Lonchura striata: one gene and its partners. The protein of the gene in region 3 interacts with the protein of the main gene of each other region in a pairwise test. Links are inferred from orthologs where the notes say so. Each region holds a gene or a part of one and is shown on either strand. Other genes may lie near its edges.

What was found. The genes of interacting proteins can lie anywhere in the genome.
Region 1: the proteins of SPG21 (region 3) and EFHC2 interact in binary tests that used the Homo sapiens proteins (3 or more experiments, as listed by UniProt). The two-hybrid records come from large-scale screens. The link is inferred for Lonchura striata from reciprocal best matches to the Homo sapiens genes SPG21 and EFHC2.
Region 2: the proteins of SPG21 (region 3) and ATPAF2 interact in binary tests that used the Homo sapiens proteins (3 or more experiments, as listed by UniProt). The two-hybrid records come from large-scale screens. The link is inferred for Lonchura striata from reciprocal best matches to the Homo sapiens genes SPG21 and ATPAF2.

The regions. Positions count from the first base shown.
Region 1 is NC_134604.1:110,733,640-110,741,504, reverse strand, and holds the start of EFHC2 (EF-hand domain-containing family member C2), read left to right. Parts: upstream 1-4,409; coding exon 4,410-4,451; intron 4,452-7,865. UniProt on the Homo sapiens protein: Microtubule inner protein (MIP) part of the dynein-decorated doublet microtubules (DMTs) in cilia axoneme, which is required for motile cilia beating.
Region 2 is NC_134618.1:15,651,149-15,658,512, forward strand, and holds the start of ATPAF2 (ATP synthase mitochondrial F1 complex assembly factor 2), read right to left. Parts: upstream 3,457-7,364; 5' UTR 3,364-3,456; coding exon 3,234-3,363; intron 2,056-3,233; coding exon 2,011-2,055; intron 1,680-2,010; coding exon 1,534-1,679; intron 1,114-1,533; coding exon 1,016-1,113; intron 174-1,015; coding exon 93-173; intron 1-92. Other genes in the region: GID4 (glucose-induced degradation protein 4 homolog), read left to right, coding at 3,711-3,923, 5,020-5,079, 5,786-5,893, 6,530-6,631. UniProt on the Homo sapiens protein: Plays a role in the assembly of the F1 component of the mitochondrial ATP synthase (ATPase).
Region 3 is NC_134613.1:21,911,891-21,920,268, reverse strand, and holds the start of SPG21 (maspardin), read left to right. Parts: upstream 1-4,925; 5' UTR 4,926-5,017; intron 5,018-7,804; 5' UTR 7,805-7,835; coding exon 7,836-7,898; intron 7,899-8,378. Other genes in the region: CLPX (ATP-dependent clpX-like chaperone, mitochondrial), read right to left, coding at 114-274, 3,765-3,834. UniProt on the Homo sapiens protein: May play a role as a negative regulatory factor in CD4-dependent T-cell activation.

The DNA.
Region 1 (7,865 bases), on a different chromosome or scaffold from region 3:
CAGGAAAAGGATAAGTCACACATATGACAGAAGCAGAGACATGTTTTCACAGACACTAAATTATGCTGATTTTAGTTAAACCTTCCTGGTTTCCTCTTATTTCTAAATTTTCCTATTCTAAACTGACAGAACTTGGTCAGACCTGGCTTTCCACGCAGACAAATGGACTAAGCCTGGAGCCTGCAGCATTTGGTCAGAGTGAAAGCCAATATATTTTATTTTTAATTATGGCTCTTTGGAAAGTTTTGGGTAGCTCAATTTACAATTTGTACTCTCTTACTCATTTCAAGTTTGCCAGTAAAACTCAATCCCAACACAAAGAGAATATAATAGCTGTATTTTTATCACAAAGACAGCATTTTCCATGTTTTCCCCAGCTTTAGCTCCCCTCCTGCTTTCTCTCTTCTTTGAACTGTACAACTAATGCAGCCCTATGTACATCCACCACTATCATCTGCAGAGTAGTCAGAACACATGGTTAATTTACTACTGCCAACTGCTTACTGTTGTCATTAACAATCTTCATTTAATAAAAAGCTTTTATCAAAATTGGTTTTCCTGGAGTACTTTAATTTTTCCTAGAAAAGGCATTAAAATTAATTTGTTTTCACTCAGTCTGTACTACTGAGTGAATACAGCAAGGAACAAAAAAGATAAACATGTGAGAGAAGGTAATGTAGAAAGAAGCAGCTGTATTCCAAAGTAGATTATAGTTTGGGTTTGTTTTTTTTTCTCATTTGAAAGAAAACAAAATGATTGAAGACTGGTAGAAAACATCAAATTGCAGTGCTGGTTTGGTGCACAAGGAAGATGCTCCCCTTCTCCACATCCCCTGTGGCTTCTTTACTGGGGGAGGCAGAGGTGCAGAAAGATTTGACTTGAGGGTTTAGGGACAATTCACAGGATTTTCTGCTGGAAATGCAGCAGACTCTACTAATACTCTGCATTTCACTGACTTTCCCCCAGCAGGGCTGCAGTTTCCTTTGCATGTTTTTAACATGCATGTTTTTCACACAGTACTCTGCCTGTACTGCCTGAAACCTTGGAGTAACAGTTTATTGTTGATATTAGAGGGAATATTAAGACATTTCAACCACCCTGTTACACAATGAGCAAGAAAATTGGAGATACCAATTCTTCCCTTCCCTTCCCTTCCCTTCCCTTCCCTTCCCTTCCCTTCCCTTCCCTTCCCTTCCCTTCCCTTCCCTTCCCTTCCCTTCCCTTCCCTTCCCTTCCCTTCCCTTCCCTTCCCTTCCCTTCCCTTCCCTTCCCTTCCCTTCCCTTCCCTTCCCTTCCCTTCCCTTCCCTTCCCTTCCCTTCCCTTCCCTTCCCTTCCCTTCCCTTCTTCCTAACCAAAACAACAAAACAACCCCAAAATAATTTCCCCATAAATGACAGTTTTGGAAATCAGAATATTTTGGGCGAAATTCCAATTCAGAGAGTGAATTCTGCACAAATGCTCCCTGGGGACTGGATGGGGAGTCTCCCAGGCTTGCTCAGACTGAGCACATCTCCCATGCTGTTCCAGGAGCCTCTGTTTGGGGGAGGAGGGATGACACATTATGGGAATTTCATGGTCTGATGCATCATAGAGTATGAAATATGGCAGGGGAGATCCACTCCATCCAGGAGAATAAGGACATTCAACAGATGAAGTACAGCTCCTCTGAGACAGGGTGATGGCAGATCACAACTGGAATATTTCAGTTTAAGCTATTTTATCCATAAAGTAATTTTTCTGTAAAAAGCAGTCTAATTAAAAAAAACCAAAACATATTAATGAACATCTTTATGTAAAATGGAGGAACATAACATAGCATGGTTGCTGTTCTCTGGAACTGGCTTTGGAAGTGTTCTGGAATGCATCTTCCCTTATTAACAAGGAAAATGTTACTTCCATTAAAGAAAAACAACCCTTCCCCCACCAGCCATCCGTGAGAAACTCTCACTGTATTTTCTGTTTGAAATTTAAATTTTTGCGTAATACCGCCCACTGTATGAAATGAATGTGATTAAAATGATGGTTTCTCTAATTTTCAATTAAAATATATTTTAAATGTTTACCTTTCCACACTAAATGCAAATGCAGATGTGTGGTACAGCGCTGGGAAACCAGAAGGTGGAAACCCACTGACCCAGTTTCCCTATCCCAGTGGACTAAAATGCAAAAAAAACCAAATAAAAAGCTGTAAAAAGCTCCCACCTCCCCCTCCTCCTAGCCTGACAGGGCCCCAGAGTAAAATGTGCTGTGTAAAAGTCACAAAATGAAAAACATTAAAAATTAATTGGTGCAGAAAATGGCAGATGTGGTGGGATTTGTCCCATCTGTGACCCAAGTTCCAGAGGTATTTGGGGGGCACCATGTCCAGAGAAGTCACTGCTCCTCACCAGGTGAGGTAAATTGCCACAGAACCAGTGAGGCTGGAAAAGATCTCTGAGGTTGAGTCTGACTTCTGATCAGACAACCCTGTGTCACCTAGACAGTGGCTCTGAGTGCCACATCCAGGATCACCCCTGTGTCACCCAGACAGTGGCTCTGAGTGACACATCCAGGATCACACCATGTCACCCAGAACATGGCACTGAGTGCCACGTCCAGCCTTTCCTTACACGCTTCCAGGGACAGTACCTCTGCCACCTCCTTGGGCAGCCCATCCCGATGTCTTATCACCCTTTCCATGAAAAAATTCCTTCTGATGTCCAGCCTCACCCTTCCTGGCACTGTTTAGACCATGTTCTCTCCTCCTGTCACTTGTTTCCTGGGAGAGGAGCCTGACCCCCATCTAGCCACAGCCTCCTGTCAGGGAGCTGTAGGGAGCCATAAGGTCATCCTTTTCTCTAAATTTCTCATGATGAAAATGGCCATGAATCCTGAAAAATTGAAGAAATTTATTTAGTGCATGCTAGTGTTGGATTTAATATGCATTTAGCATTCGGTAAATAATGATGCACAAGAAATATTATATAAATATATGTTATATATATTTTATCTATTATGATACATTTATATAGGATGTGTTTTATATTATAATAAAATTATATAAATTATATATACATCTATTTAGATCTATTTCTATTTCTATTACATATTAATTAATTATATACATAAAAATAAGAATGGATTTAATTCCACTTTGCTGCTGCTGACTCTGGGCCCACCCTGAGGCACCCTGAACTTGGTGGGGCCGGGGGTCCTGTGGAGGAGAGCCGGGACCTGCCTGCATCCCACCGAGACATATCCCGGGATGAGGGCTTGGGATGAGGGCTCGGGATGAGAGTTTGGGATGAGGATTCAGGATGAGGGTTTGGGATGGAGCCATTCGGGATGAGGGTTTGGGATGAGGGTTTGGGATGAGGGTTTGGGATGAGGGTTCAGGATGATGATCAGTTCGGGATGAGTGTTCAGGATGAGGGTTTAGGATGAAGATCAGTTCGGGATGATCAGTTTGGGATGATCAGTTCAGGATGAGGGTTCAAGACGATGATCAGTTTGGGATGATCAGTTTGGGATGATCAGTTCGGGATGATCAGTTTGGGATGAGGGTTTGGGATGATGATCAGTTCCGGATGATCAGTTCAGGATGAGGGTTCAGAATGATGATCAGTTCGGGATGATCAGTTTGGGATGAGGGTTCAGGACGATGATCAGTTCAGGATGATCAGTTCGAGATGAGGGTTCGGGATGATGATCAGTTTGGGATGATCAGTTCGGGACGATCAGTTCAGGATGAGGGTTCAGGATGATGATCAGTTCGGGATGATCAGTTCGGGATGAGGGTTTGGGACGATGATCAGTTCAGGATGAGGGTTCAGGACGATGATCAGTTCAGGATGAGGGTTCAGGATGAGGGTTCGGGATGATGATCAGTTTGGGATGATCAGTTTGGGATGATCAGTTCAGGATGAGGGTTCAGGATGATGATCAGTTCGGGATGATCAGTTCGGGATGAGGGTTTGGGACGATGATCAGTTCAGGATGATCAGTTTGGGATGAGGGTTCGGGATGATGATCAGTTCGGGATGATCTGTTCGGGATGAGGGTTTGGGATGAGGGTTCAGGATGATGATCAGTTCGGGATGATGATCAGTTCGGGATGATCAGCTCAGGACGAGGGTTCAGGATGAGGGTTCGGGATGATGATCAGTTCGGGATGAGGATCAGTTCGGGATGAGGGTTCGGGATGATGATCAGTTCGGGATGATGATCAGTTCGGGATGATCAGCTCAGGACGAGGGTTCGGGATGAGAGTTCAGGATGATGATCAGTTCGGGATGATCAGCTCAGGACGAGGGTTCGGGATGAGGGTTCAGGACGAGCCCCGCGCCTGGCCCCGCCCCGTGACGTCACGGCGTCATGACGTCACGTGGCGCGGTGCCGGCGCAGCGGCGGCGCCGGTTGGGGGGCGGCCATGGCGCTGCCGCTGCTGCCCGGCTTCTGCCGCCGCCGCAGCGTGAGTGCCCGCCCTCCTGCCGCCTCCCGCCGCCTCCCGCCGCCTCCCGCCCTGCCCCGGGGCTGCGGGGGCCGTGCCAGGCGCGGCGGGGCCGTTCCTGCCGGCCCCGCGGGTGGGGGCGAGGCGCCCCTGGGTGCGCTGAGCCCCCCGGCCCCGGCGGCGCTGAGGCCAAACTGCGCCGGGCAGGTTTAGGCTGGACAACAGGAGGAGTTTCTGAACAGAAAGGCTGATTAGACATTGGGTGGGCTGCCCAGGGAGGTGGTGCAGTCACCGTCCCTGCAGGTGTTTAAGGAGAGGCTGGATGTGGCACTCAGGGCCATGGTCTGGGTGGCACATTGGTGATCCTGGATGTGTCTCTAAGTGATACAGGGGTGATCCTGGATGTGGCACTCAGTGCCACGGTCTGGGGGGCACATTGGTGATCCTGGATGTGTCTCTAAGTGATACAGGGGTGATCCTGGATGTGTCACTCAGGGCCATGGTCTGGGTGGCACATTGGTGATCCTGGATGTGTCTCTAAGTGATACAGGGGTGATCCTGGATGTGGCACTCAGTGCCACGGTCTGGGTGGCACATTGGTGATCCTGGACATGGCACTCAGTGCCACTCTCTGGGTAACACAGGGGTGGTCCTGGATGTGGCAATGTGGCACTCAGGGCCATGGTAAAAGTGACACCATGGTGGTCGGTCACAGGTTGGACTCGATGATCTCAGAGATCTTTTCCAGCCTCACTGATTCTGTGATCTGGCAACTGCTTTGGGGCAGTTTGAGCTCTTGGTGCAGCTCCTACAGAACAAAACAGGGAGAGACAGATCCCCTCTATGTAAGTAAGCATAAAGGCTTTGCCAGAGAGGGCAGTGACAGCAGTGCTGATGTGCTGTTTCAAGGTTGCCAATACTATTAATGTAGGCTAAATAGACAAGATGGTTATTTTATCACAGCAAACAAAACAAAAGGTTGACATCCCTACTTCACAATTTTTCATCAAGGATAGCTTGGAATTCACTGAACACGCTCTAATGTGAAGCAGTGCAGGGGATAAGGCAGAATTCATGCACAGCACTCTAGCTGGTGCCTTCAGGAGGGAAATGAAACAGTGTATTTTAACATTCTTAATAATGTTAAAATACCTGAAAGGGAATCTGTAATTTTCACACTATAAATATGTTGTGGTCAAGGCTGCCTGTACAACACGTCAATACCCCATTGCTGGAAGTGTTCAAGGTCAGTTTGAGTGCAGCTCTGAGCAACCTGAATGTTGTCTGTTCACAACCCCCAAACCTGAATCTTCCTGTACCTGTCCCTCGTGACTGCATTTTGGGCCCTTTCCTTTATCCATCTGTTGTCTTCTCCCAGGCACTAAGAGCAGGCCAGAATCACAGAATGGTTTGGGCTGGAAGAGACCTTTAAAAGTCATCAAGTCCATGAGCAGGACACCTTCTGCTAGATCAGGTTACTTAGGGCAACCTGACCTTGAATGTTTCCAGGAATAGGGCATCCACCACCTCACTGGGCAACCTGTCCCAGTGTTTCACCACTCTCATTGTTAAAAATGTCCCCCTTATACCTAGTTTATACCATCAGGTCTCTTTTCACTTAAAGCTATAACCCCTTGTCCGTTTGCAACAGCCTCTGCTAAAAATCTCTCCCTTTTATTCTTATACTCTCCCTTAAAGAAAGGCCACAATAAGGTCTCCCTGGATGCTTCTCTTCTCTGGGCTGCATAACCCCAACTCTCAGCCTGCCCTTATAGGAGAGGTGCTCTAGCCCCTGCTAATTTTTCTGGAGCGCCTCTGGACCTGCTGCAATAGATCCATACCTTTCCTGTACTGCTCCACACTACTGGTGTTGATGCAGCTTGTTTTGTGATGTTTTTAGAATGGCACCAGAGTTGCTGACAACAATGTCTTAGGGTGTTCCTCCTTTGCCAGTACCACTTAACCCCTGAACATCCTGAGACCTCTGCAGCAAGCAGGAGGTGATAAAAAAATTGGAAATCAGTCACATGAATTTGACTGGCACAGTGTGTAGCATTTGCATTTATTTCTATCACTTAGCTGAAGCAGCCAGGAGACTTTATCAGCAGCTTAGAATAGTTCAGAAGTGCCACACTTCATCCTGATACAGGGTTTGAGCAGGACATCCAGGGTGCAGCTGCTGTTCTCAAGGTGGGAATTACAGATGGATACTGGGTACAGAACTGTGCTGCCACTACTGCCATAGCTCCCTGTGGGCCTGAGTTAAAAACGTGGCTTCTGAGAGCTCACTGAGGGCTCTCCCATCACTCCAGCTGCTGTGCTGGAAGATCTCCAGCTGTGTTTGGTTCAGCTGGAATGTGCAGCTCCCTGAGGAGTTTGCTGTGACTGTATTCCAGAGCAAGATGGAGTGAGCATGAGGCAGCGTTCCCTGAGGACTGCAGGGGCTGAGTTTGCAAAGCCAAGAGCTGCAGTCAGAGAACCCTGACCTTTATATTAGTCACTATTGAGTGGATCCTCAGTATTTTCAGGCTTACTGCACAGAAAATGTCCAGTTTTGTTCAGCAGATCCACAGCCTGTTCAGTTGAGCTGCATTAACACAGCAGATACATTCAAGCTCTTTCCCTGCTCTCTGAAATCTTTCTGTTAGAAGTCATTCCATGTGGAGGTAGCATGATGTTCTGTCACTATTTTAGGCTGGATGTGGTCTGAGTTCATTAGCTGAAATTTCCCAAATGTGATTTTTCCCTTTTGTGATCCTCAATTATAACGAATCTGTTTCTTAAAATGTCTATTTTTGTTGTTGTTCTGTTTTTTGTTTCTATTTTTTAAGAAATAACTGTACAGATTTTGAGAAAAGATTGTTTTGTCTATGGATCTCAGTGCTTTTTGGAAGAAGAGGATAAGTACTTATGTGATTAGGAAACTAAAATAGTCTTTTGTCAAACCCTAAAAAGTTACAGGAATGACTCAAAAAATTCTTAAGAGAATTGAAGCTGTTTTATAATGTATTTTTCATATCAAATTTTAAAGATGTTGTGATTTTAGCCCTAAATTCTGCATATTCCAGCAGGGTTATTCCTGGATTACTTTGATGAACACTTTACCATACTTTTGCTGTTAAACCCCCAAAACGTATGAACAGCAAATGCTTCTAGAAGTTTTGAGGACTTGAAAAGCTTTTCTTTGTCAGTGCTCACTCTGAACCATGGCATTTTATATCACAGCTCAAAAAGCTGTGCTGATATAAAAAAAATTAATTTTGGGCATCATTCCTGCAAATGTGACTGGTTAAATTCCTGGCTTGAGCAATGCTTTATGGTAGGGGGACCCATGAGCTCCTAGTTTGCATACAAGCATTTCCTTTTATTGATTTTCTCTTTTATGCAGTAGCTCTTTTTCTTGAGTTATATCTTGAGGAGAAATTTTCTGTTTCC
Region 2 (7,364 bases), on a different chromosome or scaffold from region 3:
AGGGCTCATGGAGCTTGTGGCCCTGGGACTTCTGAGCTCCTGGGCTGAGCAGGGCAGGGCCTAAAGCAGTCAGGAACCTTTTGAGCTCTCACCTTTTCTCAGCCCAGGTGATCACAGGATCCCATTCATTCTTCTGTAGTTCTGCCAAGGCTGGAGGCTCCTCCACACGATAGCTGGGACATCACAGAACAAAACCACACTGGATGGTCACTCCCAGGCTAGGACACACCTCTGGAAAGGCCACTGACCCCACCAGACCCACAGCAAGTGGAACAGGGACCTGCCGTCCACCCAGGCAGCAGTGACAGGGAATAATCCCCCAACCCTGCCCTAAATTCAGTGTTTTTTTGTTATTCCAGGAAGGACAATTCTGTCTTACTACAAAACAGAGCGGTGAACCACCCAACTGAAAATTGCAGGCAGCCCCAAGCCAGACTGAAGTTAGAGGGTACAAACCCCACTGCAACTCTCTGTGGGGCCACTCCTGCTTCTCCTTGCCCAGTGGCTCAGCTCAGCATTCCCTGCTCACCCAGTCTGACCAAAGCCACAGGGGCAGGTGGGGGAAGCCTGTTCCTCTCTCCACAGGAACTGTGCAGCTGCCAGTGGAGGAGCCTGGGCATGAACAGGCTTGATGCTACAGCTCATGGGGACTTTAAGGAATGAAGGGCATTTTGGGACTGCTACAAGTAGTCTCAGCTATCTGTACTGGCACAGGAATACCAGGGACTGGCTGACAGAGCCCCACAAGCCTTTCAAAGGTGTTTTCTTTTCTCCAAGATCTTCATTTCCCACTGATCTCACCCTTGCCCAGCAGGGAGGTGTCCAAAACGGAGTTCAACAGAGGACCAAATCCAATTCTCCTTCTTTGGGTGCACAGACTGCAACCAGGTTTGCACATTCAAACCCTCAGGCAAAAACCAGCACAGAGCCATGCCATGACTGGGTGAGTGCAGATGTCTTCCCTCACTTTACCCAACCCTCTTTCCAAAATCCAGCTGGGTCCCCATCTCGTTACCAGACTGTGTCTGTCTCCAGGAACTTCACAGCTGCTCGGATCAGCTGCGTTTTGTTTCGCTGCGTGGGATTGTCCAGCGCCGTGTTGCACAGAGTGGTCTGGGGATAAAAGCAGTTGAAACTGCTGTTATTCCAGGCTTGAAAAAGCAGCAACTTCCATGGTACAATGCCAAGAAGAAGCAGAGGGATCTGTGGCAAATGATCTGAGGGGTGCAGGGTTACAAAATGGCTAATGTAATAAGTGTCTTCTCAAATCTTTCAGAATCCCTGGAAGCAGCTTATTAAGCAGCAGGGAAGAGGGGCCAAGGATTGCTCCAGAGCTCAGTTTCCTCCTGCCCCTAACTATTCCAAATAACACTGTCCAGCCCCTTCTCAAGTTCCCCTAAGTGACACAGATTCCCTCTAGACAGGCACCTGGCCAGCCCAGAGAAAGTCCTTTCTGCTCATTAGGAGCAGGACAACCTGCTGCCTCCACATTCTGCATTTGGAGGTCTCAGCACTCCACCCTGCCATGCTCACCAGGTGCATTGTGTAGAACTTGATGGTGTCTTTCTGGGAATCCCACTCTGTTGCCACTGCAATGGCCAAGGCCTCGCTGGGGACAGTGAAGAGTTTGGCCTGGGGCGTTTTCAGCTTTCGGTGGTCCAGGTTTATTTCAAAGCCTCCTGGGGAATCAGAGTAGAAATCCTGGGGAATCAAAGAGGAGCAGGCACTAAGGAACAACAGACAACCCCACAGGAGGAGCAGATTCAAAGTTATAGAGCTGAGAGGAGCAAGAGACCAGGAACACTCAGGTTTCCCACCATCACTTGGATACACTTGGTCCTGGAAGCTGGTTCCCACCATGCAGCTTTGCTGTAGATGAGGAGGGGGCACAGCAGCTGGTGACAAACCTGCCACTGACACAGCTTGGGCTGCAGGTGCTGATGTGGGGTGGGGTGATGACACCTCTCCTAGGGATCAGCTCCCCCATCCCATCCCATCGGCCATACTCACCTTCCCCCTGCGAGATGCTCACGTTCTGGTAGAACCTCTTCCTCTCTAGGGACAGAAACAGAAGGCAAAGAGAACATTCAGAGGGCAAACAGAGAATGTTCAATGCCTTCCCCTGCTCCCCATCACAGCTCAGAACAGACAGAGCTTTGCTGCTGTCGACGTGGTAACAAAAATCCAGCCCTTCTTCCACAGTTTCCAAGCTGTGAGCTGCAGTGAGCTCCCCTCAGCAGGGAGGCACCAGGAGCAACGAGAACCAGCTCCAATCCTGCCAGGCTGGGGGCTCAGCTGCCTCAGAGTGTGGCAGGGCTGGTTTCCCAAGCAGGCCTGTCCCACCTCTCCTCAGTTCTGCTTCAGGGTCAACCTTTCCAGATTCTACAATTACAGTTACACTGGATAAATTAACCCTCAAAGGACACTGCAGCCCAAACATCTCAGTCCAGCTCAGGAATATACCTGTTCCACCAACAAGATGAGCCTGAGGAAACTTCAGGTCTCATTTTAGGAGCAGCATCCTTTGCTACCAGCACTCCTACCGCCGTGAGAGCAGGATTACACCCATCCCAAAGGCTCACACCCCTCCCACAAGGCAGGAAGAATCCACGAGCCATTCCCCTGACAACAGCAAGCAGGCTGTAAATCCCAAACCCATAAACCTGTCTGGTGAAGGACACAGCAAACAGGCCAGGCCGCGGGTCTGCTATTCCAGGCTAAAACCAGCACATTCCCACTGAGGAAATAGAAGGATTTGCTCAGGCTCGGCGACCTGTGAGCTTTGGGGCCTCAGGCACAGTTCTAAAAACAGATTAAAGTGTGTGTACCCCAGAGGAGCCCCGAGGCTCATCAGTGACTCCCAAAACTTTGTCATGAGTCACCGCGACGCTGCAGCCTCACCTCCGACAAAATGAGATTAATTTTATTGTTTTTAAACCCACGTGATGGGATACGTGAGCCAGAACATACCTGAACCCCCTGGTCTGAGTCCCATTCCCTCAAAATCCCTAAAACCCAACAAAACACAAAAACAAGTGTAACAAACTGGTTCAGCGAGGGCTCGGCCGTGCTGCCAGCGAACCCTGCCCGCTCCAAGGACAGGCTAACACCAGGGAAAGGGCGCCGGGGACAACTCCAGCACCGGGGCCGTGCTAATCCCCGCCCTGCCCTGGGTGACCCCGGCATGAGGGTCCCCGGGGGAGGATCCCCCTCCCCAAACGCGGCTCCCTCACCTGTCGGCGGGGCATAGGCCCGGCGCCCACATGACCCCACCGGGCCGCTCCCAGCATCTGCAGGAGGAGTTCTGGGGAGCCGAGCGGGCTGGGAACGAGCCCACCACAGCCGGCGACAGCCGCGCCACATCGCGCCAGACGACACCACCACGACCACCCCGTCCGCACCGCGCTCAGCGCCGCTCCCTGGGCGCCGCCATCTTGCCGCCGGCCGCAACCAATCCGCGCCGCCTCCATTTAAAAAGAAACTACATTTCCCAGCAGCGCCGGGTGGCACCGCAACCAATCAACGCCCGAGCGTCGTTGCCAGCAGCCAATCAGAGCTAAGGGACGCCCCTCAGGCACGCGCGCCGAGGCGCTGCCAGGAGGCCCCGACCCGGCGGCGGCGGCGGCGTGAGGGAGCGGAGCGGAGCGGGCGGCGTCCCCCCGGCCGCAACCCCGGCCCCGGCCACGCTGGCGCCCGGGGACCCTCCCGAGATGCCGGTTCGGAGCGAGAGGCACCGCAGTGGAGGGGCGGGAGGTTCATCCTCCTCCCCTGCTACCGGAGCGGCCGCCAGCAGCTTAGTACCGCCACCCCCCATCAACACGGCGCAGCCTGGAGTGGCCACTTCGCTTCTTTACAGCGGGGCCAAGTTCCGCGGGCAGCAGCGCAGCAAAGGCAACGCTTACGAGGTGGAGGTCGTCATGCAGGTGAGGGGGAACGGCGTGGCGAGCCTGGTTTTGGCAGGGTGGGAATGGCCACCGCGGCCTGAGGCGAGACGGGGGAACCCCGGCTCGCCTCAGGTCGCGGTGGCCATTCCCACCCTGCCAGCCCCTTGTGACAGCACCCGCATCACCCTACCCCTCTATATTAGAAGGAATTTGTCGCAGAAAATATCACTCTAAACATCAGAATATCCTACTTAATGATGTGGTGGAATCACCATCCCTGGAGGTGTTGGAGGAAAGACTGGACGTGGCACTTAGTGCTGGTGAATCAGTCACGGGATGAGCTCAGCTCTTTTCCGACCTCAGTGGTTCTGTGATGATTCTAAGCTTTTTATGGTCATTTCTCCACGTTTCTGGTGGGATTTGTGCCCTGCTGCACGCTGCCACCTCGCAGGGGCTGGTTGTGGTTTTGTGTTTAAAAACGCTGCTTTTTTTGTCGAAAACGTGGCTGATTTGCATGTGTCAGCTGAAGAGAAGGGGGCTGCCTGCTCTCCCTGTGCTGAGCACGGGGAAACGTTGCTGTCCTTTGATCACAGGTGGAGAAGATCCATCTTCTCACGGGTGGAGGTTTGTACTTCCCTGAATAACTCACTCTAGATCTCAGAGAAAAGAAAAAACCCCTTGGAAAATCCCTGCTTTTAAAGGAGCAGGCAAATCCTTGCCTAATTTCTGCACAGCACAGGCAGAGAGATGCAGCCTGATAACTCAAAATGCAGGTGGCATAAAAGCTTTAAATTTAGGAGAAAGGCTTGTAAAATGCCGGGGGTGTGGGTGATTCTTCCAGGGATGCTTTTTCTTGGAGAATACTGTGAATCAGATCCCTTCCTGCTGGAAAGGGGATTTGCTTCCTGCTGCAGAGTTCTTGGGAGCAGGCCTGGGATGTGGAGGCTGCCAGAGGTGAGCTGGGCACCTGCAAATGATCTTTCCAGGTGGTTCCCATCATGGAAAAGGGCTGTGAATATTGGGCAGTGGGTACCAGCTGGAGCTGAAATTATCTTTGGAAGGGTTAGAAACTGCTTTGGGTCAAGCATGCACCTTCATGCCTATTTTTATGGTTGGACTTTGCACTCTTTTCCAGCATGTGGATATGGAAAACTCCTATCTCTGTGGATACTTGAAGATTAAAGGCCTTACAGAGGTGAGTGTTAACTGCAAAACAGCACAAAAAGGGGCTCTGTGAAGGCTTTTTTTTTTTTTTTTCCTGGTGGAGTGAGAGAAGCTGCTGCCAGAAATAGGAAGCGGAGGGTGTGAGCATGGTGTAGATTTGATCAAAGGGGATCAGCTGGGGAGTGGTGCTGGCTGTAAATGCCACAGGTGATCATCCAGCTGGGAGCTCCATGGAATCATTTACAGTTGGAAAAGCCCTCTGAAATCATTGAGTCCAACCACTGACCCAGGACCCAGCCAGGTCCACCACTTCCCTGGGCAGCCTGTTCCAATGTTTAACCACTCTTTTAAATTGTTTTTAATATCCAATCTAAACCTCCCTTAGTGCAATTTAAGGACATTTCTTCTTGTCCTGTCCCTTGTTCCCTGGGAGCAGAGCATGACCCCCACCTCGCAGCCCCCTCAGCTGCTTATGTTCCAAATCCTTCCCTGCAGCCCAGCTCTGATGTGGCTCCTGGCTTCATAAAATGAAGAGAGAGGCAGAGAAAGGCTGGAATAAGAGCGTGGAAGAGTCAGCTTGGAGAGGTGTGGGGCAGGATGAGGGATGGGAGCAGCAGCCTCAGATGGCCCAATCTCCCTGCGAGATGCTTTTTGCTGAGTGCATGGAGCTTTGTCTGCTCTTGAGTTTGTGCCTGTAGGTGACTATTGTGACCCCACCTTTGTCTCCCCTCTGCCAGGAGTACCCAACCCTCACCACGTTCTTCGAGGGCGAGATAATCAGTAAGAAACACCCGTTCCTAACGCGCAAGTGGGATGCCGACGAAGACGTGGATCGTAAACACTGGGTAAATAAATCTGGGGGCACAGGGTGGCTCTGGGCTGCTGGTCTGGGGGAGAGGGGCAGTGTGTGCCCATGCAAGAGCTGGCAGAAAGGCCTGGAGACCTTTTTGCTGTCTCCTTCCTTTTCCCCTGGGATCTTTATTTATAAAGGTCTCTTCAGCAAACTGTGATCTGTGATGAGGGAAGGGATGTTTTGTTTTCTACTTGTTTGCCTCGGGGTTGGGAGGAAGCAGGAGCAATCCCTGTCTCTTGATCCCCTAAGAGAACACAGTAATTAGTTTTGGAGATTTATTACAAAATGGAATGGAAAAGGGGAAAGGGATCCCACAAGCACAGGCAGAGTAGTTGGTACCTGTGTCCCTGCTCAGGGCAGGGTGTACCTGTTGCTGTGTTGTGAGGCCACAGCAGCCCACCTGATCACCCCCCCGCCCTTGACCTTGGCTGTTGTTTGCCAAGCTTTGATGTTTGTTGTATTTCTGTCAAAATATCCTCCTCTGGAAGTACAGGAGCTTCTTCAGCCAGGCTGGATATTGCTGTGAGTGTCAGTAGATTTCCCTCCTAAACAGCAGCTGGTACTAGAAGTTCTATTCCTGGAATAAACATCCTGAGCTGTTTTTTTGTTGTTGTTTGTTTTGTTTCAGGGAAAGTTCCAAGCTTTTTACCAGTATGCAAAAACATTTAACTCTGATGACTTTGATTATGAAGATCTAAAAAATGGGGACTATGTCTTCATGAGATGGAAGGTAAACCCTGCCTGTCTCCTTCTCTGCTGAGCTGCTTGCAAGGCACTGACAGAAACTTGAGATGTCTCAGAGCTTTTCCAGCTATGATGGTTTAATAGAAGATCTCACCCTGCCAACCCCAAAACCCACTGTACTTGCAAGTTCCAGTATGACTCTTGTCTAGCCAGCTAATTGTGTCCTTAAGGACTGCAGTCATGGCTAAAAACACAACAGGAAAATCTTGCTTGGTGATCCTGCAGAGGATGAGAGAATTGATGCCTCCAGTCCCTGTGTGGGGCCTGTGTTTGATGTTCTGGCCAGTCTGCAGCTCCATTCTTCAGCTGAGATCATCACAGAGTCACCATAGACTGCTTTGGGTTGGAAGGAACCTTAAAGCTCATCTTGTTCCATCCTCCTGCCTATGGCAGGGACACATCCCATTATCCCAGGTTGCTCCAAGTCCTTTCCTTGGACAGTTCCAGGGATCATGGGGTACCCACAGTTTTTCTGGGTACTGTGTGCCAGGGCCTCCCCACCTTCACAGGGAAAAATGTCTTTTCCAATATCCCATCTAACCCTGCCCTCTGGCAGTGGGTAGCCTTTCCCTCTCTTCCTGTCACTCCATGTCCTTGGCTGGAAAGTTTCCCTCCAGTTCTCCCATAAGCTCCCATAGGTGTTGAAAAGCTGCAGTGAGAACTCCCTGGAGCCTTCTCTTCATTCTCAGGCTCTGACTCCGAGTTTTGCAATGGGCTTC
Region 3 (8,378 bases):
GGACTAGAAATGTCAGGAGTTGGCCAAAATTTCAAGATTAATTTTAAGCAAAAAATAGAAATGCAAGGAACATTTTACATAAACTACTGAAACCCCCAGTGTGTGGAAATTACCTTGCTTCCATCTCCAGAACCATCCTTGCTTGCACCATCCTTTGAAGCAAAATATGCTGGTGTTTCTGAAAAGTTTCTAAGAGGAATTCGTTTTAGAGAACAAGTTTCAAAAGTCCCAAGTTTTCCTAAAACAGGGATGCGTGTACGACCACAAGTAATACCTAAAAAAAAAAAAAAAAAAAAAAAAAAAGAAAAAAATGTAAATACTAAAATACTCCTGTTTTAATGCCATTGCCACCAAATCTCAGAACTGATTTACTTTAAGTGCAGCTTAAAGATTTTGGCAACAGAATTCAGCTCTGAACATACAGATTTTAATTATCCAAAATAGATGATCTTTACCACCTTAATGTTTACCTTGTTGAAAGTTACTTTGGTTGTCCAAAAAAGACCCCAAAATAATTTCAGGTCCTCTAACATCAGACAACTGAGAGTCCTGTTGTGGCATGAAATAGGGAACATCTCAGTTATGAAACTGATCCTCAGAATGATAACCACAATCGACTTACAGCTTCTATTGTGAAATAATTCAACTCCCCGAGAGAAACTTTTGAAGAGTCTCTTTATTATGCAAAGATTAGGTGTTTCAGACTCAATGACTGCACGTCTGGATTTGGCTTTCACTTGGGAACTCCATTAAAAATTAGTTTCCAGGAATTTGAGGCACCTCTTGGCACCAAGAATTGTGCTGAGGAAAACTGAGCAGCCGTGTCCCATTTGGCACTCACCGACGGCCGGCACCGGCAAGCTCAGCGTAATCTTAACTTTGCTAAAATATTTTATTGCCAATATGAAAAAAACCCTCACTGAGAAACTAAACAGCCTTTTCCTCCTCTTGCAACACGGGCAGGATTGCATTTCATGGCAGGGCATGACGTGAGCCAACCTATGTTGTGCTTGTGATTTCAACATCAACAACAGCCTGGAATCTGTATCTCATCTCTCGCATTTCAAGTGGCAAATTTCTCACTTGGCTCGCTGGTTTTGATCAGGACTCTGTGCTCTACTGACAGCAGAGCTATAGAGCAACAATGGCAACTACAGACTTGCTGACAACACATAGTTATAAGGATAAGAGAATCCTATGGAAAAATCCAGAAACTCTTCAAAAATAAAAAAGAAAAATTAGGAATGGCAAGAGAAGCACAGCTCATTTGCTCTGAAAGAAGAAGCAACAACCAAGAGATGGGAGCTTAGCTGAAAGAGGATACTCTGAAAATTCACCTTGTTACTATAATAAGAAGGGAGAAAAATAAAGAAGAAGGAACTTAATTTACCAGGAAAACTCTTACAGGCCTCTTCAAAGTCACAATAAAGATGACAGTCAAATGAGATTTGAAGCTGGTTTATTAACTTACATGCTGCTTAAGATTCCTTAACCTGAAGATGACTTGTACTATTTTTAACATGACTAAAAATTAACCTTTTAAAAATCTCTTTACAGCATTGCTTCTGTCTGTAAACGTGAGGGAGGAATAACAATCAATGAGCTTCCCCATTTTAAATTCCTCTGCTGAGTGCCATTGCAACACATTTTAGATTACAGAGGGTAAGCTATAAAAACAACACAGAAAACTTGAAAACACTGGCTGGCTCTCAGAAGCAGTTGTATTTTTTAACTGAATGTGCAGAGAACTCTGACAACTCTGTGTGCCAAGTGCACTTGTCAGTAAAGAACAAGCTTTGGTGAGTGTTTACAATGCAATAGTTGTTCTGAGCAGCTTAGAAACTGAGAAAAGACCCCTTAAAAATGAAACAATGACCACCTCTCCTCCCTGGAACAAAACCTAGAGTCACACAAGTAACACGGGGGGATTTGACCTGTGGAGAAAGGCTGAAGCACTAACACAAAAGCTGAAACATTTCAGTCCTCATTTTAATTCAGAATGCTCTTGTGAGACAGAAAATGCACTGAGAACTGTATGGGATGAACTATGAAACCTTACACAGCACTGACTACTGAGCTGTGAAGCCTAAACCAGGGGAAAAACATCCTAATACTGCTACGTCAGCTGGTGGCTAAGCGTGTGCTTATTGTGAGGTCTGAGAGGTGTTTTTGGACAAAATATCATGGTATAATTCCACAGTGAAGCAATAAGAAAGTTATCACCACTACTTCCTTGAGTCAATAAGCCCAGAGGGAGATTTCCAAGGGAAATCAACATTCCAGCTCAATGCCTGGCAGCTGCTGCTGATGGATCCAGACTCTGATAAATGTTCCAGTATGTAACAGCTGGCAGGATGTGCTTACACACCTGGCAGGGTGGCTCAGGTGATGTTTTTTTTTCGGAGCACCAACTTCAAAAGATTTGTCCCTGGCAGCCATGGAACCAATCCAGGCGCATTAAGAAATGATGGGAAGCTCCTTAACACCTTATTAACCTTTAATTGATGCTTGACAGAATAAATACTGACTTTTGGGGCAAGCCTGGGGGATCCTGGAGGTATCTACTGCTCAGGAAAGTGACAGGGAAATTGTGACAAACTGTAACTGTCCCACATAACACTCGATTGATTTCACTGATCTGTGCACTCTGAACTCTCTCAAGTTTGCAGCAACCAGCAACAGCAAACAAAGCACCTGGCAGAAGACAAGATTTAATACAAATTTAATATGAAAGACACACTAAAGTAAGATACATTTATTTTTAAACAACTTTCATTGAAAGCTGGTGGTTAAATAATTGTATAGCTCTATCTACATTTTATTCTTATTTGCTCTTTTACATAATCCTTTTGAATCTTAGTTCTGACCAAAAAACCCCTCAAACTTAACAAAAGATAATTCTGTAATGAATTTCAAACAGTGCTTGCTTTGAAGCTGATTGTTTCAGAGGGATTGCGTAGGGCCAGACAGGCTGGATTTGAAAGTACAGGTTAGAACATTTCAGCACGGCTGGTATTCGAGATATAAATGTAAAGTCACCTACAAAGAGTTAACTCGCCTCTTAAGGGCAGTAAACGATCTCTGACTCACCAGGCTATTGCTGAGGGTAGAGTGATTGAAAATATTGTTGCAAAAGTGGCAACAAAGATGTTTTTCAGCACTATTTGGGGGTGCCCTGCTTTCCACCCAAAGCAGCACATTGTTTGTCTGCTCTCAGCACCCCCAAGAATACAAAAAAAAGGGTAAACAAGGAAAAACAGTAAAAAAATAACCTCCCACAGCCCTCAACTTCCAGCGAGCAGCTGGCACAGTCTTGTCCTTCTACCAAGTTGAAAATAATTAATTTTGCTAACTAAACGCATTTTTATGAGAAATATTTCAAGTTTAGGCTACCACACAGGTAGGCTTTTAATTAAGTAAGGCAATTAAGCCATTTTTAAGCCCATGAAACACATTTACTCCCACTGCAGAGTAACACACACTGGCCGACAGCTGCCGAGCATCACTTCTGTAGAAATAAACCCTATTTTCGCATCCCACTTCCCCACAGCGAGGGCGAATTCTCCGATACTTCACAGCGCGTAAGGCTGCCCTCACCCCCACCCGCACCGCACCAGCAACCGGCAAAAAGGAGGGAAAAAGGGGGGAAAGGCCGCCGTGCCCGGCGCTGTCACAGCGCGATAAGGGCAGCGGCGGGGCCGGGCTCCCTCAGGGCCGAGCGCGCCGGGCCCGCTGAGGGAAGGCGGCGGCCGGAGCGCGGTTACCTCTGCGGGCGGAGGGCAGCGTGGAGCCGAACAGGCGGGCGGCGGCGGCGCAGCTGTGGCAGGCGGACATGGTGCAGCGGCCGCGGGCCCGGCCGGCTCCCCCCGCCGCCGACAAGGCCTCGCTGGCGACGGTGCGGCCCCGCCCGCCCCGGTAACGCCTCCGTGACGGCACCGCGCGTCACCGAGGGACTGCAGATCCCAGCGGGCATCGCGCCGCGGCGCGCCCCGCGGGAACGCACTCGCCTCGCGGGGTGGCATGGGAAGTGTAGTCCCAACAGTGAATGGGTGCGTGGGCGCCGCGTGGCATTGCGGGAAATGTAGTCTGCGATCGGCAGCGCCCCCCCCGGCTCTCTCGGTCTGTCCTGGGCACACCGTCCAGGTATGTTTATTCCCGGTGGTTCCGCCCTTTAATTCCTCTTTCCAAATACGATACGAGAGGAATATTTCCCTTAGATCACAGAAATGTGTTTTTTTTAAAGCCTTTCGTGAAAAGATCAGGCTGAGACAGGAGCAAAAAAACTTCAGGCAAACTGAAGCGATTTTGAGAGCGAATGGAAAATGATGCCGTGTGTTGTGGGGCGGTCTTCAATCAGGGAAGAGTATTGTAAAAATACATATTATCTAATTAAGTGTATTCTTTAGGCACGCCTTTGATATATATATAGATATATATAGGTATATATAAGGCATATACACACACCTTATATATACCTATAACTGCAGACAACTGTAGGTCTGTTTCTTTCAGCTCACCTTCAACTCCTATTTATTAGATAGCAATTAAACGGGGCTACTTGACTCCAGCTGTTCATTAGAGGAATGACTCGGTATCACCTGTCGCTCTTCTCAATTAACCTGAGCTGCCCCGCAGCGAACAGATTGCCGGGGAAGCTGCGGCCCATCCCTGGAAGTGTTCAAGAACAGGTTAGACGGGGCTCGGAGCAACGTGATCTGGTAGTCCCTGATCGTGGGCGGGGGGTTGGAACAAAACGACTCTTAAAAACTCCCTTCCAAGGCGAATCATTCCCTGAGTTAACGCGGCTTCCGCCTCGGTAGCGATGGCGGCGGAGCCGCTTCCGCCCCGCCCCGGTCACGTGGGCGGCACGGCGCAGCACCCGGAAGCGGCGGCCGGCGGGAGCTCCCGGCGGGGCGGGACAGCGGCGGCGGCCGCTGGCAGCTCCCGGTGCCGCTGGCAGCTCCCGGTGCCGCTGCTGCTCCCGGTGCCGCTCCTCGTCCCCGGGCCCGGCCAGCCGGTGAGCGCCCCGCAGCCATGGGAGAGGCGGGGGTCCCCGGGCCTGCCGCCGAGCTTAGCGCCCCGCACCGAGCAGGGAGCTCTGAGGGGCCGCGTGGGCGCTGAGGCGAGCGGGGCGGCCCCTGAGGGAGGGAGGGAGGGATGGGCGAGGGTCGGGACGCGGCCCCGCAGGGAGCCCGAAGCCCCCGGGGCCCCGTTTGCTGGGGGGTCTCTCAGGGGAAGGGGCTGCCTCAGCCTGTGCTGAGGGTGTGGGGGTTTGTCCCCTTCTCCCTGCAAAGCTGGGGAGCCAAACGTGGTTGAGGAGGGGGAAGGAGCAGGGGCAGGGTTGGTGGGAGCAGCGCTGGGGCAGAGGGGAAGGTGCTGCCGCCGCATCAGTTAGCCATAAATCTTCTTATGGTCTTGTAAAATCAATAATGAATGGAGTATGTCATTAGTGTAGTGAAATTACTCACAGAGAGACTATTACCAAATGCTCTGAGCACGTCCATAGGTGATTCTTCCAGAGGAATTGTTTTTAAAAGCTTGAAGTTCTTCAGGTTGTTTGGTTTTACGAAAAATGAAACTTGTGTGTTTAGAGGCTGATCATGACCAACATCAGGCTCTTTGTGGTCTGAGTTACCTTCAGTAGCTGAATTCCTGTTTTGAGTTCATGGTTCAGCTTCTCTGTGGCTGGAAATCACATGTAGCTGTTGTTAATGTCAGTTATTTGTGTGTACAAATTTAATGCTGCATTTCTGTGCAAAGGAGAAAAAAAAAACCATTTCAGTAAGAGAACAAACAAGTTTCTTCTTGTGTGGAAAGAAAGGCAGCCCTTAGGAGTGGTGATCTCAGATGCTCCTTCAGAAGAAAGCTGGTGGCAATCAGCCCTGGTGTTAGTGGCCAGTGGCTCACTTCCATGAGTGGTAACAAGTGAACAGGGAAGTTCAAAATTTGCGTTTTGGATGGACTCTAAACTCGCTGTGGTACCAGACAAGGTACAGGGCCAGCACAAAATCCACCTGCACGCTGCCTTTTCCTTATCAGCTGTAATGGCACAGCTCTGTGCTCCCTGCCCCCAGCCATTCGCTCAAGGGTGCTGCAAGACTGAGGTGGCACAAGCAGCGAGGTGATCCCGGCAGGAAGAGGCTGCCAACCCTCTGCAGCAGGAAGAGTCTCCCTCTCCAGCGTGCGGGGCCCTGACCAGGACTTCTGCTTCTTGGTCCAGGGCAAGAGAATGTGTGTTTTAAGGCATTTCCTGCAATTTGTCTGCCATAATTTTGTCACACTGTCGTTTGCTGAAGAGCTTTTAGGAGGCCATTGATGTGTGGTTACAGAAAGGAATTAGTGTGAGCCGTGGTTTCCTCGCTCCAATGGCTGCAGGCCCCCAGCCCAGGAAAGCATCCTTGCACCTGCTCTGCTTTGCAGGTTATTGGAATAAATTCATTTTACCCTTGCTGCAATTTTACCTGCTGCCAGACTTTGATAGTGAGCAGAACAGTTGGTGCAAGCAGCAAAGTGAAACCACACAAATTTGAAATAACAGCCACAGCTGAACAACCCATCTCAAACCTTTGTACATGGGAGGTGTAGCACGTGCTCTGTGGAAGGTGTGTGTTTGTCCTGTAGTTTAGAAAGTATTTTCCCTTTTAAAATTAATATTTTCTTCACTTGGAAGATGGCAAATGTAGACTGAAAGATGAGGAAATTGTAACTCACTGATAATCCAGCTGTAACCCCATAAACTGGTTAAGCTGTTCACCAGCAGCTCTCCTGCAGGGACAAATGAATTGGAGTGACTCACAGAACACAACGAGGTCTTATTTTATGAAGAATTAAGAAACAAAACCTATTGATTTAGACTTGGCAACTGTTAAATAACAAGCGCAAAAGTTTCTTTTTGTCTTTTCACGGTGCTGTGTGTGAATTCATGAAAATAATCTCCCAAGGCAGCTGGCTTTCAGGGTGAAGCTATTGAGTCTGCAAACTTCAGAAGTGTTTGATGACATTTGTTGTATAAATGGAAGCTAATGGTTTCTTGCTGCTTAAAAAAAAAACCCAAACAATTAAATCTTGGAGCTACGTCAGTGTTTATTACTAATTAATGGAGTATTATAAGATACTCATTATGTATGCTTGGACATTCTGGCTGGGGAATGAATTAGTAGCATTCCTATGTGGACCCAACTCAGAATCAATTTGTGCTGTATTAATTGGTGTGCTTCAAGTATTTCTTCATTGGTAACTCCTGACAAGAGCCTGCTTCCATGTGGATAGAATTAAAATTTCAAGGATTTTCTGTAAATTAAGCCTCGGATCAGGTGATGTTCCTGATGTGCTCTGGGACTCGTTTGGATCAGTTATACTCAGATGGAAAAACGAGACCTGAATACTGAGTGGGTTCATGAAATAATGTCTGTGGTGTGAATTCCTGAGTGAATTGTATGAATATTTATTAGCTATAAACTTGGAGTGCCTTATCAATTTAAAAGAAACCAAGAACATGCTTTAGGTTTTTTAGCCACTTACAGCCTGAAACACAATTGACTTTCTCTGCAGCTGTCACACGGGAATGCTTCTACAGAAACATCATCATTTCATAATTAGGTTGGTGCAGTAAGGCAGTCAGGTGACTGCCTCCTGGGAGAATAATTGCATGGTTTGAGCAAAAGTGAACTTGGTGTGAGTCAGAGGTAGTGCCATCAACTGATAAGAGCAAATCAGCCTGCACTGCTTTATTTACATAGCACAGCTTTTGAGAGTGGCCCACGGTGAAACTGTGCTATTGATTTCTCATTCTCTCTCTTTTCAGGCTGACCCAAACTGAGATTTTTCTAAACATCATGGGAGAGATTAAAGTCTCTCCTGACTATAACTGGTTCAGAAGCACAGTTCCTCTTAAAAAGGTATGTACATCTTGTAGGTGAAATATCCTCTCATGTTTTAGGGGGAGAGACTCAATGTGATTAATGCAGAGCAGTTGTGGCTGTGCTGCTGAGCTGCTTTATCTCCTGAACTGTTGTCCCACATGTCATGTGAGTGCATGAAAGCACACCCTTCATCTTCACATGCTTCTTGGAGGTCACTTCTGCCTGTGCTGGGGAGCAGAGGCTCCCAGCTGTGAGCTGTGGCAGCAGTACCTGCCATCCCAGTGCCAGCCCTGCCTGAGGAGGGGGCTCCAAGGGAGTGCTGCGTGCTGGGCATCACATCTGTGGCCTCTCAGAGCTGCCTGGGAGCACTGGACTGAGCTGCCAGAGCCACCTCCACTGTTCCTGCCCATTGTCCTCAGGCCAAAGCAATGTCCAAAGGCAGCTTCCCAGCAGTCAGCTGCACACAGAGTCCTGAGAGTGGAAATAACTTTAACCATGGGGGAAAAACCCAGACAG